4 linked regions of the Saccharomyces cerevisiae S288C genome follow. The gene in region 3 interacts genetically with the main gene of each other region. Each region holds a gene or a part of one and is shown on either strand. Other genes may lie near its edges.

Evidence for each region.
Region 1: mutations in TIF1 (region 3) and EAF7 together harm fitness more than expected from each alone (negative genetic interaction), as found in Saccharomyces cerevisiae (4 studies listed by BioGRID).
Region 2: mutations in TIF1 (region 3) and UBP8 together harm fitness more than expected from each alone (negative genetic interaction), as found in Saccharomyces cerevisiae (3 studies listed by BioGRID).
Region 4: mutations in TIF1 (region 3) and GDS1 together harm fitness more than expected from each alone (negative genetic interaction), as found in Saccharomyces cerevisiae (3 studies listed by BioGRID).

What each region holds. Positions count from the first base shown.
Region 1 is NC_001146.8:368,534-372,240, reverse strand, and holds EAF7 (Eaf7p), read right to left. Parts: upstream 1,874-3,707; coding exon 596-1,873; downstream 1-595. Other genes in the region: peptidylprolyl isomerase FPR1, read left to right, coding at 15-359; mitochondrial 37S ribosomal protein uS4m NAM9, read left to right, coding at 2,186-3,646. UniProt on the Saccharomyces cerevisiae protein: Component of the NuA4 histone acetyltransferase complex which is involved in transcriptional activation of selected genes principally by acetylation of nucleosomal histone H4 and H2A. The NuA4 complex is also involved in DNA repair.
Region 2 is NC_001145.3:714,777-718,630, reverse strand, and holds UBP8 (ubiquitin-specific protease UBP8), read right to left. Parts: upstream 1,917-3,854; coding exon 501-1,916; downstream 1-500. Other genes in the region: MRE11 (MRX complex nuclease subunit), read left to right, coding at 1-56; FSH2 (putative serine hydrolase), read left to right, coding at 2,322-2,993; FMP42 (Fmp42p), read left to right, coding at 3,186-3,854. UniProt on the Saccharomyces cerevisiae protein: Histone deubiquitinating enzyme component of the transcription coactivator SAGA complex. SAGA acts as a general cofactor required for essentially all RNA polymerase II transcription.
Region 3 is NC_001143.9:553,370-556,769, reverse strand, and holds TIF1 (translation initiation factor eIF4A), read right to left. Parts: upstream 1,784-3,400; coding exon 596-1,783; downstream 1-595. Other genes in the region: UTP30 (Utp30p), read right to left, coding at 1-252; glycogenin glucosyltransferase GLG1, read right to left, coding at 2,150-3,400.
Region 4 is NC_001147.6:1,003,379-1,007,290, reverse strand, and holds GDS1 (Gds1p), read right to left. Parts: upstream 2,155-3,912; coding exon 586-2,154; downstream 1-585. Other genes in the region: CIR2 (electron-transferring-flavoprotein dehydrogenase), read right to left, coding at 1-70. UniProt on the Saccharomyces cerevisiae protein: Involved in nuclear control of mitochondria.

The sequences.
Region 1 (3,707 bases), on a different chromosome or scaffold from region 3:
CAAAACAAGTAATAATGTCTGAAGTAATTGAAGGTAACGTCAAAATTGACAGAATTTCCCCAGGTGATGGTGCCACCTTCCCAAAGACAGGTGACTTGGTTACCATTCATTACACCGGTACCTTGGAGAACGGCCAAAAATTCGATTCCTCCGTTGACAGGGGCTCTCCATTCCAATGTAACATCGGTGTCGGCCAAGTCATCAAGGGTTGGGATGTTGGTATTCCAAAGTTGTCTGTTGGTGAAAAAGCTAGGTTAACCATCCCTGGCCCATATGCTTATGGCCCACGTGGTTTCCCAGGTTTGATTCCACCAAACAGTACTTTGGTTTTCGACGTCGAATTGTTGAAGGTCAACTAAAAGCAAAGTACTATCAATTGAGCCGCCTTTCTGCTTTTTATTTATGTTTATGGTAAGTATCTGAGCCTTAATTGAAATAGATATATAATTACAAAAGATTAGACAAGGAGAAGCATACGTATATTCTATTTCTTCATTAAGGTTATTTTATTCTATATCTGCTACACTACATTAAATACAGATACCTCTATGGAACGGATGAGCGTTTATTATCGCGATCTATATATGAGCAGTGATTATTTTTTATTTCGTAGCCTGCTGGAAACTCTTGTGGCAGGAGGGCTATTTTTACGAGAGCCTGCCTTCCGCCTTTTCCTTTTCGGCGAGGTTTCATTGCTAGTATTACCTGTGGATGATGAATGCCTAGTTCTCTTTGCTAATGGTTCATTTTTGTCCTTAGAATCCTTTTTGGTATCATCCTGTTGATCATCTCCTTTTTTGTTTTCCGTTTTTTTCTTTAAGTTGCCCCCTTCTGATTCAATTTGTTTTCCTTTACCTTCTGCCTCACGTTCAGACTCGTATCCCAGTTCTTCGTCAACTCCTTCGTCAACTCCTTCGCTTTCAGAGCCATTGGTATTTTCATAAGAGGTGGATTTTTCACGCTCATCATCACCTTCTTCGTTTTCGTTTTTTTCCTTATCTACTTCTTCATTGTGGGTTATTTTTGGCTCCTGGATCTCCTCTTTCTTTTCTTTCTGTTCTTCGTCTTTCGTATTATCTTCTTCTATCTCTTCCTTTTCTTCATCTTCAAATTTAACTTCCTTACTTCTTTTCAACCTTTGAGATTTTCTTACTGGAGCTGCTGTTTTATTTGTACTTTTCATTTTCTGTTCTTCTTCACTCATATGTTCCCTCTGGAGTTCCTTTTCATCGCTTTGCACCTCCTTAATGGGTTCTTTCTGGACGTCTATGGGGCTATCATTTTCCTCTGTATGATATTCAGGCAACTCTTTCACTTTAATTGTCGCATTTTTTTCCTGTTTATTGTTGTCGTTCTTTAGGTCTGTAGAAGGACTTTCCTTTGGAATTGTACTATCTTTCTCATTCATATCTTCAACTCGAGGATACTCTTCGTTAGAGTTTGGACTTTTTCTTGCATTTTCTAAGATCAACTCACCGTATTCCTCCCAAGGTAATGTAAAATCTTGCTTGCGTACTCTTATTCGATTATTCAATTCAAGTAAAGTTTCTTCATGAATTTCTGCATCGTCACCATTTCCATTGCCATTCCGTGAACTCTCTGTAGTGGCTTCCAAGGAATATGTATTCTCCATTTCATCAATTTTCTCTAAATTGTAAGATTGGCTCAACTTATCCCATATGTCTTTTGCAGTAAATACCTTCCCCAACTTCATGGTTTCTTTCTGTAATAGCGTCACTGGATACTTATCTGGCGAATTCATTCTTTCCACTATGCAAAACATGTGGAAATGCTTATGAATTCCGGCCGGTTTGAATTCAGATGCCCATCTAAGAAGTCGTATTTCATCCACAATTGTCCAATGTACTACCATCACATCCACGATTCCCTTTTCTTCACTAGCAGCTAGCAACTTCTAATAAACTCCGCCAATCCATCTTCATAGATTATATGATTGATTTCTTCGTTAAGCACGATTTTACTTTTCATGGTGGCAGCCGGATACGTTTCGCTTCGCAGTATTAGTTAAGGAACTATGCTGAAGATATACAAAAAGAGAGAGCGAACGGTCAAAAAGGTGAAGGTTTCCCCAGAGGAAGTGCAACTAATTCGAATATATATCGAGTAGGAGCTCCTTTATACTTTTTTGGTACGGAAGACTGGTTACAATTAAAATACAGAGATAATGCCAAGAAAGGCTAATTTGCTAAAATCTTTGGCAAGAGGACGAGTACGCACTTCTTTCAATAAGTATAATTTGTTTAATTTGTACAAAAAGGGTGGTGTAGACTTGAAGTCTAAATCTTTGTATCAACAGAAGTGGACGGCAAAGCAGGAAACCCGAGCTTATCATGGTGAACATTTGACAGAAAAGAGATGGCAAACCGTTTTCAAACCCAAATTGGATTCAGTAGCACAATTGGATGCTTCACTGCGTGGAGGTGAAATCAAGGAAACACCATTTTTATTACAAACTTTTGCAGTATTAGAAAAAAGGCTTGATTTTGCCCTTTTCAGGGCTATGTTTGCTTCGTCAGTAAGACAAGCTCGTCAGTTCATCTTGCATGGAAATGTTCGCGTTAATGGTGTAAAAATTAAGCATCCAAGCTATACTTTAAAGCCTGGAGATATGTTCAGTGTCAAACCGGACAAAGTGCTGGAAGCTCTCGGTGCCAAGAAACCAAGTTTCCAAGAAGCGCTAAAGATCGATAAGACTCAAATAGTTTTATGGAACAAGTATGTTAAGGAAGCGAAAACGGAGCCAAAGGAAGTTTGGGAGAAGAAGTTGGAAAATTTTGAAAAGATGTCGGATTCTAACCCAAAGAAACTTCAGTTTCAAGAATTTTTGAGGCAATATAATAAGAATCTGGAGTCACAGCAATATAACGCATTAAAGGGATGCACACAGGAAGGTATCTTGAGAAAGCTTTTAAATGTAGAGAAGGAAATAGGTAAGTCGAATAATGAGCCCTTGTCGATAGATGAACTCAAACAGGGTCTCCCTGAGATCCAGGACTCTCAGTTGTTAGAAAGTCTAAATAACGCTTATCAAGAGTTTTTCAAATCCGGTGAAATTAGAAGAGAAATCATTTCTAAATGTCAGCCTGACGAGTTGATTTCACTGGCTACAGAAATGATGAATCCTAACGAAACCACAAAAAAAGAATTATCTGATGGAGCCAAATCCGCTTTAAGATCTGGAAAAAGAATCATAGCGGAAAGCGTGAAACTATGGACGAAAAATATAACAGACCACTTCAAAACTAGGATGAGTGATATTTCTGATGGTTCACTAACGTTCGACCCCAAATGGGCCAAAAATTTAAAATATCATGATCCGATTAAATTATCTGAATTGGAAGGTGATGAACCAAAAGCACGTAAATTGATAAACTTGCCGTGGCAGAAAAATTATGTTTATGGTAGGCAAGATCCTAAAAAACCCTTTTTCACACCATGGAAGCCAAGACCATTTTTATCGCCTTTCGCCATTTTACCTCATCATTTGGAAATATCTTTCAAGACATGCCACGCTGTATACCTAAGGGATCCCGTCGCTCGACCAGGCCAATCCGAAGTAATTTCACCATTTGATGTTCCTGTTCATGAACGTGCATATATGTATTACTTGAGAAATGGTAAATGATCGTCGTGTATTGTTGCACGCGTCTTTTGACTGATCTTCAGCCTCTCTTTACACTGTAAAT
Region 2 (3,854 bases), on a different chromosome or scaffold from region 3:
CAAGGACGCCAAAGACGGATATTCTTGGAAGTCTCCTTGCTAAGAAAAGAAAATAGTTGTACTTGATCCCTATATTATATTATATCCTATTTATAACCAAGGGCTTGCCTTCGCGAACAACAAGGTATGCCATTTTGAGAGGAGCAAATTTGCATTCTAAATTCATGATAATGATATGTTCTTTAATTATTACTATATATAAACTCACTTAGTTTTCCAGCCTTTGCTCTTTTGTTCGTATAGCAAGGAATGAAAAAAAAAAATCCTGAATAAACGTCATAGTAATTTTCTTCCTTAGTTAGATACAAAGGATTTTGAAATACAGTATATGCACAATCGCAACTCATTAAGAGCATAGGAAAGTATTCAATTTAAAGAAAAACATGATGGAAACGATGATATAGAAAAAAGAACGGAAGCAAGCGTTAACTGTGATAGGAATATGCATAGCTTTTTCTTCTTTTTTGTTTTATTATTATTGTTGAATGCTATTTGCTGAATCAATTTACTTGACGAATGGTGTAGAATAATAAATATGCCTGTTCCTTTAAAACCTCTTCTTGAGATATAGAGGAGACCATGGAATCATTGAATTTAAACCATTGCCCTCCAGAAATTTTACAAAATGCAATATAATGTCCCTCATTAACCGTCCCCTTGTGGGAAACAATACCGATTAATTCGTAAATAATGTCTGGAACCTTGCCATTTTCAGAATGCTTATCTTTTTCCTTCGTTGAACAGTAATTTTTCATATTTAAATAAGTTGGAAATTCAATAAAATCGTCTAGTTTTCTGTTACTTCCATTAAGTAGGTGTTCGAATCTTTTCAATTGCAAAACCAAAACCGATGGTAATTTGTGTATGCCTAGTTGCTTTATTGCATCTTGAGTGCTGTTACACTCCCCACAATGATAGTTGAAATCCTTCAACTGTTCTTTTTTATGGAAACTGTCAAGACATTCATAAAGTTTTTTCTTATCCTTGATATCCAGAGAAAGATCCAAGAATGGATCAATGGTTGTCTTTGAATTATTTTGACAGCCTGGACACACAATAGAACTTTCCAAGGAGCCCTCAAACACAGTATGCACTATGCATTCACACTGCTTATTATTTGCTCTGCTGACTTCCTTGGCATTTGGCAAATCAAGAACATAGCTTTGGTGGATTTGGTTAATTATAAACTGCCAAAATTCATGAGCATCTTGTTGTGAATACCCTGCTAGATTTTGATTGATTTTCCAGGCACAAGTTAAAAGATATATGAATCCGGTTTGCCGATTAGTAGATGTAGATGACGAAGAAGCTTGCTTTGTATTCAGCGCTCCATAAAGTTCATGAACAATTTTATCGAGTGCACATGAAAAACATTTATCTGGAGAACGCACTTTACAATTATTAGAATGAATTTGACTCATTGAGTGCCTAATAAAGTAAGGGTTATGGATTAGACATTGGAGAATACTACTCATGAAACAAGTGGATCCCATGTTGATCAGGCCAGAAAGCCCATCTCTTCTTTCCATGCTAGGAACCATGGTCTTTGTGCACACGTCGTCCCAATACTTCGCTAGGATAGCATCGTTAATCAGATCGATATTCCCTATATAGTCCTCACATTTGAAGCAAAATAAAAGGCCATTATTTGAGTTGATACCAAATATGTGACCAATCTGTTTACTGTGAGAGAGAAAATGCGAATGGTTCCAACATCCACAAAATCCACATTGTAGACACATGAAAGTTGCACCAGAGTTTATTTCGTGGCATGTACCACATTTCATGGTGTTTAAGAATTTTTCCTTGGGTACGGAATGATTTAATATATACCTGGCAGCATTGCACGTTTTTAGAACCCCATCTTTAGACTTTTCATTCTGAAATACTTGCTGTATATGTGGACAAATGCTCATAATTATTAATAACAAATAAAAAAAGCAGGGTTTCAAGTAGGACGACGAGGACCGAAGCTGTAGTTTTCCCTTTTGATCCGATCAATAAATAGTATTCAAAATTATGACAGCCAGTTGAAAGAAATGGACTAACTGGTCTCAAAAGAAAACCTTTATTATTATCCGTAAAATATCTTTTTAGAATTAATCAGGTCCACTAATATAATCCCTTTGCTATTACGACAGCTTTCTAGCCCATATACAATATAAATTATTGATGCTTTTTACACACTATAATCGAGGATTTTTTTTCACTTGAAAAATTCAAAGAAAAGCAAAAAAAGGAAGAATAGAGAAGAAAAAAAAGGTATAAGTGAAGAAAGAATGTGCAATACTACAAGACTATAAGATTTAATAGCTGTAACCATGACGAAGAATGTATTGATGTTACATGGGCTTGCGCAGTCAGGTGACTACTTTGCCTCTAAGACAAAGGGGTTTCGCGCCGAAATGGAAAAGTTAGGATATAAACTCTACTATCCAACAGCACCCAATGAATTTCCCCCAGCTGATGTTCCTGATTTCTTGGGTGAGGTAATTGCTGATGCACCTGGGGATGGTGAGAATACCGGTGTGCTTGCGTGGCTAGAGAATGACCCTTCCACCGGTGGCTATTTCATACCGCAGACGACAATCGACTATTTACACAATTATGTCCTTGAAAATGGTCCATTTGCAGGTATTGTAGGATTTAGTCAAGGAGCCGGTGTAGCTGGATACCTAGCAACGGATTTCAATGGTTTGTTGGGCCTTACAACAGAAGAACAGCCGCCGCTAGAATTTTTCATGGCGGTCAGTGGTTTCAGGTTCCAACCACAACAGTATCAAGAACAGTACGACCTGCATCCAATATCGGTCCCATCTCTACATGTTCAAGGAGAACTTGACACTATCACAGAGCCGGCCAAAGTGCAAGGCCTATATAACTCTTGTACGGAAGACTCTCGCACTTTACTAATGCACTCTGGGGGCCACTTTGTGCCGAACTCAAGAGGGTTTGTGAGAAAAGTGGCTCAATGGCTCCAGCAGTTGACCTGAGGCAAGTATATATAGCACGTAATCTTCACATAATCTTCACATACATATTTATACATGATTAAATCCTCCGGGTAATAATACGTCAAATTAACTTAACTACCGATACGATGCTTCATTATGATAACGATAACAATGGCATCTATAAATGATTTTATTCCTCGTTAGGCCAGTATTAGGGCAGTAAAGACTGTAATGACCAGTACAAGAACGTTGAGATACGCACAGGTTGCCTGTGCTTGTATCTGGTGTCTTTTTTCAGCTGGTATTATCTTTGGATTTGCTGCTTTGAAACCTATTTTAATTTCAGAAGGTGTATACCATGAATTGTGTGATCCTAAGGATGGTGATAGATTATTATGTACTGCACAGGATCTGAAATTAAATTTTATATTTGCTCTCAGTGCTACTGTAACAAACATCATGGCCCTTCCTGTCGGTAAGATTTTGGATATGTATGGACCTCGTGTCTGCGGAATAATAGGATCATGTCTCTTGTTCCTAGCAAGCGGTAATTTTATTTCTGCCAAGCATCTAGTGTCTCTTTGGGACCCATATCTTGTCGGTTACACGCTTTTGGCAGTTGCCGGTCCGTTCGTCTTCATTTCATGTTTTCAATTGGCAAATAGCTTCCCACAAAGATCAGGAACCGTATTGGCCCTACTAACAGGATCATTTGATTCGTCATCTGCGCTGTTTCTGTTATATAGGTTGTTATATCAAAACTGGTTTCCTACCTTGAACGTTTCCAGATTTTTCACCCTATATTTGATTGTTCCAGTGTTTATTCTTGCCTGTCAACTCACGATAATGCCTCATTCTTCCTACAAAACTGTCAATCACATTGCTAAGATCGCTGTGGAA
Region 3 (3,400 bases):
TCTATACAAGGCAGAGGGATCCTTGGTAATGAGTAATATGTTTAGGTCCCTTGGTTTAAATAGCTTGTACTTTGTTAATGGAATAATACGGGGGATGTTGTCCCTGTTTATGCCCATTTTTTTGCCCGTGTTGATGATTATGTGTATGTCCTTATCATTTTTTAAAGATGGGTTCTCTTCACATTGTAAAATTAGAGCCTTTAGTGCTTTCTCTGCCAGCCCACTTTTTATAATATCATTTGACTCAACCATCCCAAACCTCGAGATATAGCGTTTGATGTACACTTTTTCTTTTCAGCTCCAATCTCTATTAGTAGGGCATCGATTTTTTTTTTTTTCCTTTTATATATATTATTTTTTATAAATTTGAAAAATTTCAGATAGATACGTTCGGATATATACAAAAAGACAAAGCAAACAATTAGTATAGGGTATTTCAACCTTCGTGCCGAGAGTCTTTTGGACTTTGAAGAATAATAGGAATGTAAAAAGAAAAACAAATTAAATACAAAAAGCATATATAACTTTTTAGAAATATATGTTACGTTATCAAGATAGCCTCACAAGATACTTTTTTAAGAAGTTTTTGTCTCCCTTAGTTCAACAAAGTAGCGATGTCGGATGGCAATTCTTCAATTTGAGTGGAGTAGAACTTTTCTAGTTCTCTCATAGCGCCAACGTCTTCGTTAGTAACAAAGTTGATGGCAACACCCTTTCTACCGAAACGACCACCTCTACCGATTCTGTGAATATAGTTTTCTTTGTTAGCTGGTAAGTCGTAGTTAATAACCAAAGAAACTTGTTGGACATCGATACCTCTAGCCAACAAATCAGTGGAGATCAAAATTCTGGAAGAACCACTTCTGAATTCCTTCATGATGGTGTCTCTTTCTTGTTGTGGTAAATCAGAGTAGATGGCAGAAACGGTAAATTTGTCGTTTCTTAACTTAGTGGTCAATTCTTCGACCTTTCTTCTGGTGTTACAGAAGATGACAGCTTGAGTAACGGAGATAGAGTCGTATAAATCGGTCAAACACTCGTATTTGTATTCTTCTTCTTCAACATTAACGTAGAATTGTTTGATACCTTCCAAAGTCAATTCATCCTTCTTAACCAAAATTCTAACTGGGTTTCTCATAAATTTGGTGGTAACTTCCAAGACGTCATTTGGCATGGTGGCGGACAATAGAACAACTTGAGTGGTTGGTGGAAGTAAGGTGAAAATTTGGTAGATTTGTTCCTTGAAACCAGAAGACAACATTTCATCAGCTTCATCTAAGATGAACATCTTGATCTTGTCAGTTCTGAATCTACGTCTTTGGATGTTGTCAAAAACACGACCTGGAGTACCAACGACGATTTGAGCATCTCTCAAACCTTCAGCGTCTTCAACAAAGGAAGTACCACCGATACAAGCGTGGACCTTGATGTCCATGTGGAAAGCCAAAGCCATGACAACCTTTTGGATTTGCAAAGCCAATTCTCTAGTTGGAGCCAACATCAAAGCTTGAGGAGCCTTGACAGAGGTGTCAATTCTTTGCAAAGCAGCAATGGAAAAGGTACCGGTCTTACCAGTACCAGATTGAGCTTGAGCCAAGACATCGTGACCTTCAATAATAGGCATGATGGCACGTTGTTGAATGGCAGATGGTTCTTCGAAACCGTAACCGAAAACACCTCTTAACAAGTTTTCGTCCAATTCCATATCATCGAACTTGTAGACAACCTTGTCATAGTTGGTTTGAATTTGGGATTCTTCAATATCAGTAATACCTTCAGACATCTTGTATATAATTAGAAGGAGGCCGTTTAACGAATTTGTTATAAAATAAGAAAAGAAAAGACTAGAGACCAAATAAAAAATCTACAAATGTCAGGGCTGCGTATATTCATACCTTTGTTCTGTGATGTTAGCTCAAGTTCTTAGCACATCATTCAATAGACGAGGTGAGAATGCAAAAATTTTTCAGTCACTATAAACGTTGTGAGGTGAGAAAAGATAAACAGCAAGCATCGGATGTTGTTGCTGATAAACCTTTAAAGTAAATTTCGAGTTTGAATGTATATAGAATAGTTATGCATTTTTGTATAGTCGAAAAGGTCTTTACATAGATATGTCTTTTAATTTTCCTAATATGTGCGTGGAAGTTTACTCTACTGCATACTCAAAAATATCATCAGGGAAACACCTCTCTACTTTGGATAGATAATCAGAGTCCTCCCAGTCAAATTTGAAGTTGGGCATTTCTTGTTGCGGTTGGTTGGTTTCCTCTGCTGTAAGTTTCATATCCTCCTGTTTATCTGCAACTGCACTCGTCTTCGTTTCTCCTTCGGTAGCATCTCTTGCATCGTCATCAAAAAATTCTTCTTCGTTATCGATTGCATTTGACTCGTACACGTCCGGAAGAAATTCTTCATAACCTTCCTTGTCTTTTTCTAAGTACTGTATATTGTCATCAACAGAGGTATGTGGTTCTACGTCGTCTGGTAAGTCATTAGTAGAAACACTTGGTTTTTGTATATTGTCAGTTGACCTTTTCTGTTCTGGATTTGAAGGGCTAGATTCGACACTGATATTATTTTCTTTAGAATTGCTAAAATTTTTGCCATCTGGTTGATTACTTACATTGTTATTGGAAGAAGCGGCCGTGCTTATATCATCGAGGTGGCTTTCTTCTCCAGAATTTGAAGCGTTATCTGTCGTACTATCCTCCTCTTCTGCATTTTGGTGCTCATCGCTATCAGCTTGAGTACTCACAACGCTATAAGAGCTGTTTAGTTCCTGAGTACTATTTGGAGGACTTTCTTGGTCGCGGTTTGAACTGCTATTGATTATATTGTTATCATTCTCTTTCGAATATTCTCTGCTTTCATTTACTGGCTGATTAGTCAAGTGATCTTTGTTAATAAAGGTTGTTAACCACTTGGTAAAATCCAATGGGACAGGGTTAGGAGCAGGGCTATGATCCGAGTTAGGAACAGGCTCGGCGTTCTGGTTGTCCACGTTTTCTTCCACTGTACTAATTGTGTCGATCTCTTGATTCGTAGTGGGTTCGTTCGATGGAGGGGCATCCACTGGGGTTATCGTTTCAGGAGTCTCAGTTTTATCGGAATCACTAATCTTTGGCTTCGAAACTTCGTTATTTAATTGATGTTCTTCCTTAAATTCCTCGTATACCTCATTCCATTGATCATGATACTCGTTTTTAATGAAATTCTTTTGGGACCACAATGACCATGGCTTGTGTTTCCCAATGAAATGAATCAACTTAATGCTAGGTTTAAAGTAATTCATAGCAGGTGAAGATTGGTAGCCTAAATTAGGAATAGTTACGTTATACGTAAATGATAACTGTACCCATTCTCGAGAGAAACTGTCTTTAACTAGCTCATCAGTGCA
Region 4 (3,912 bases), on a different chromosome or scaffold from region 3:
AATGACGAGATTTTGCGGAAATCGTCATTCGGATCCCTCTAATTAAGTTCTCGTTAGTGAACTTAATCATTTTCCCTTTCCCAGAGTGGATTTTCCTGTCTAGCTTAAGTTTGTTCTTTTATGTGGCCTGAAGTAACAGTAAGTATATAACGTATTGAATAAATTAATTAAGTGGGGACCACTACTACTCAGTCCGCTTGAAAAAGTTGAATTTTTCAGTTAACCTTTTCTTTTCTACAGTCATGGCAAATCGCGATCCATTGGTAACAAAAAATAAAGCTTCCCGCAAATTTCGGATAAACTAACTGTGGGGTAAATGAAGATCAATCCATATATATCCGGAATAACCGAAAACAGCCAAAAAAAAAAAAATTACTGTCATTAACAGTAAATTAGTCCACCTCTAACGGTTTAGTTGTTTTTCATTTATTTATTTATGGTTGTTTATTTATTTAAATATTGTAGTGAAAGTTAGAACTAGCTAAAAATTGTCCAAATGAGAGGAACACATATTATTAGTTGATAAAAAAAAACAACGACATAGGTGTAGAGCAGCCGTTATGCTCTTGTAAAGGGAGATAAAAATCAATTGAATATATTTTCTAGGTCATCTAATGTGATTGATTCAGGAGATTCAATATCATGTGTCAAAAATCCATTTCTCACAATTTTCATCCAATTCGTAACTTCGTTTCGTGATTCTTGGGAACTTGGGTTTGATTCTCTTCCGTTATCCTGACTGGAATTGATGTCGGATAAAGATTCAGCAGAAGAAGCAGCTGCACTATTAACTGGTGAACTACTACTACTGTTATATTGAGAGCTCTCTGAAGAGCTCTCAATTGGAGTCTGTGTAGAGATTACTTTATGGATAGCAGCCAGTTCAGAAGAGCTACGTGAATTTTTCTTAAACCCATTTTTCGGCAAAAGCTTAGAAAGCCTTGGTGCAGCGGCAGCGGCAGTAACATAAGTATTTGACGATGCATTATGCGACAGAGAAGAATCTGGCGAAATATTCTTGGAGCTTGCAAATGTAGAAAGAGATGCAGAGGAACCCTTTTTGGGGGTGGATAAAACTGATAAAGATTGGGATTTTGTTTGTTTGCCAGGTTTAGTAGTTTTGGTTTTCTTTGGCTCGGTCATTGACTCGTTAGTATCTTCATCCATGTAATTTCTTTTTTTATTATTGTTTTTACTCTTCGATGCCGAATTAGGTGTCAGTAATTGTTGCTGATTATTACTCATCGATGGGGAAAGATTTAGTGACACTGGAGAAGTGGAATAAGGTATGTTGAATTCTGGACTTAATGAAAAGGCCAGATTCCCTACATTCAAATTTTTTGAGAAGGAACTGTTAGAAGACATATTTTTCATGTCCGTCATAGAACTTGAATAACTGTCATTGTTAACTAGCTGGTTACTGCTGGACTCCCTTTTTTTCTTGCCATTTGAATTAAAGTCGCTTGTATCACCGGAGGTCTCCAATTGTTGTTTAAGTTGCATCGTAACAGCTTGAGCATGCTCCTTGTAATCGGGAGATAATATGCCTCTGTATATATAGAGCATCCTTCTAGGAGATGAATTAGACCATTCCCTTGATAAAGCATAAGTTAACGTTTTCTCACCTTTTTCAATTTTTTTAACATAAGCGTTCAGTTTTGCGGAAATTAAATTTGACAACTTGGTTGATAAATTGGACATATCTGGATGTTTTTGCAAAAGCAAGTCACACAGTTGTTTGACGGTCATGCCTTGTTGATTCGGATCCATTTCCCATAATATTAAAAAAACTGCGTGAAGAACGTCATCATCCAGAGGGGAGTCTCTATTTTCGGGTTTTGGCCTCTCACCAGTAACAGGTATTAGCTTAGAAATTTCTAATAATGGATTGTCTTTTTTGGGAGCACCAAAGTCCTTCTTAGGTTTGGTAGCTTTTATTTCCTGAGATGAGGAAAACGAAGAACCGGCCAAATTATTATCATCAAGGGCCATGCCTGGCTGGTTGCCGATAAGATCCGTGCCTGGATTCGAAATAGTGTCAGCTCTAGTTGTAAATCCCATTGAATTCAACTGAAATACTGGAGAATTTGAGTTATGAAGAATTTCATTCTCTAAAGTTGGTATTTGCAAAGGTCTGGAATTTGCCAATGCCATTATAAGTTCTTCTAATCAATTTTTTTATATGGTTTTTTGTCTTTTTTCGTATTTTTTTGTCCTTTTCTAAAATACTATAGCAAAGCAAAAAAAAAAGTAAAAAAAATTTGATTTATGAAAAGTTGAAATATCCTGGAAAAATTAGTTAAAACCTCCCAATATTTCTGTAGTTATTGATTGATTGCCCGTTTATTTTCTATTTTGCTGATATTGTTTCTGCTAACGTTTCTTTATATAATCCCGCTTGCTGACACAGAAGTGACTAAAATAGGGTAAAAAGGGAAATTATTACGAAAAGGGCAGTCCAAAGCAAATAAAAAACAATGGAATAGAAAATAAAAAAAATTAAAACTCAAAATAAAATGTATTCCAATGTAAAGGAAAAAATAAAATAATAGGAAAAAAGAAACTATTATTTTAAAGCCTTCAATAATGGAATGCTGAAAAGAAAAGTTATGATTTTGGTAATTTGAGTCAAATAGTCAATCAATGACTTTTTGTTTTTGGTTTTTCAGAAATAGAAATTACCAAGAACCTTAATTGATAAAAAAAAGGGGAGCTTGAAGGGAATACTGATAATACAAACAATATCGTGTAAAAAAAACCTACGTAAAAAATTAAATCAAGCCAAGCGAGAACAGAAAAAAAAAATGAAGTAAAATATTGGACTGGAATATGAAAATTTTAGAAAAAGAACTAGCCGGGATAAAAGTACAAGAAAAGGAGAAGAAGAAAAATTTTTGACTTCTCATCGCATGGGTTTTCAGAAAATTTTCTTATCAAAAATTTCATCGGGCGTATGATTTTCGTTTTTTTCTGCGTCGTTCCTTCACAAAGTATCGAAAACCCCAAACAAAAAAAATATAAAAAAAAAAAAACACCCTTGCACCCATAACATACGGCGAGATGTAAGGTAGGTATAGCAGACTTAGATATTGCGTGCGAATCAGTTTGATTCGCAAGTAAAATCTTCATGCGCATTAGTATAGAGCGTTGGAAGCAGTTAACATAGTATTTCGGTTTTTTTTCCCTTTCATAAAAAGGATTCTTCTTCCATAATCCCTTGCGTGAGTTGAATATGAATGAAACTCGTTGAACTAGTGAACAACAAGTGATTGTATGCTCATATTTAGTACTAACATTTCAGCATTGTATAATCCTTTCTTTACTTTCAGGATAAAGACATACATTCTACGTATGATCAAGAGTAAGGAACAAGAATATTAAAAAAAACGAGATGAACCTTGAGTATATATATATATATTTACACCAATGTGCCCTACGAAAATAGTGAAAAAAAAATTTCAGTTGCAACCGCGTTTTGTCCGTTAGTATCTTTTGTCCGTACACCTCGTACTAAAAAAGAAAACCAGTCCAAAAAGAAAGTCAAACGGTCCAAATCGGAAACACCGACGCTCAGCTTAATAAACATTGTGTAGAGCCAAGCGGAAAAGAATACCATTTAGCCGCCGATGCAGAAAACCGGTATATAGAGCTGAAAACAAAGATTGAACTCTCCAGACAAGTTAGAAGTAAAAGCAAGTAATATATAAGTTTTATAAGTGAATATTCGGTCGAAGGTAGTGTCAAAGTTACATCACCAAAACTACTTACTATTGAGGAAATATCAGGTGTGCCAATACGTTAATTGATCTGTGAATAAAAAACGAAGTTGGAACATTGTATTACCTTTCAAATATGCCATAAAAGGTTGCTCGTCGACTAAGTAATTAATCGATTATAAGAGGGAAAAAGCGG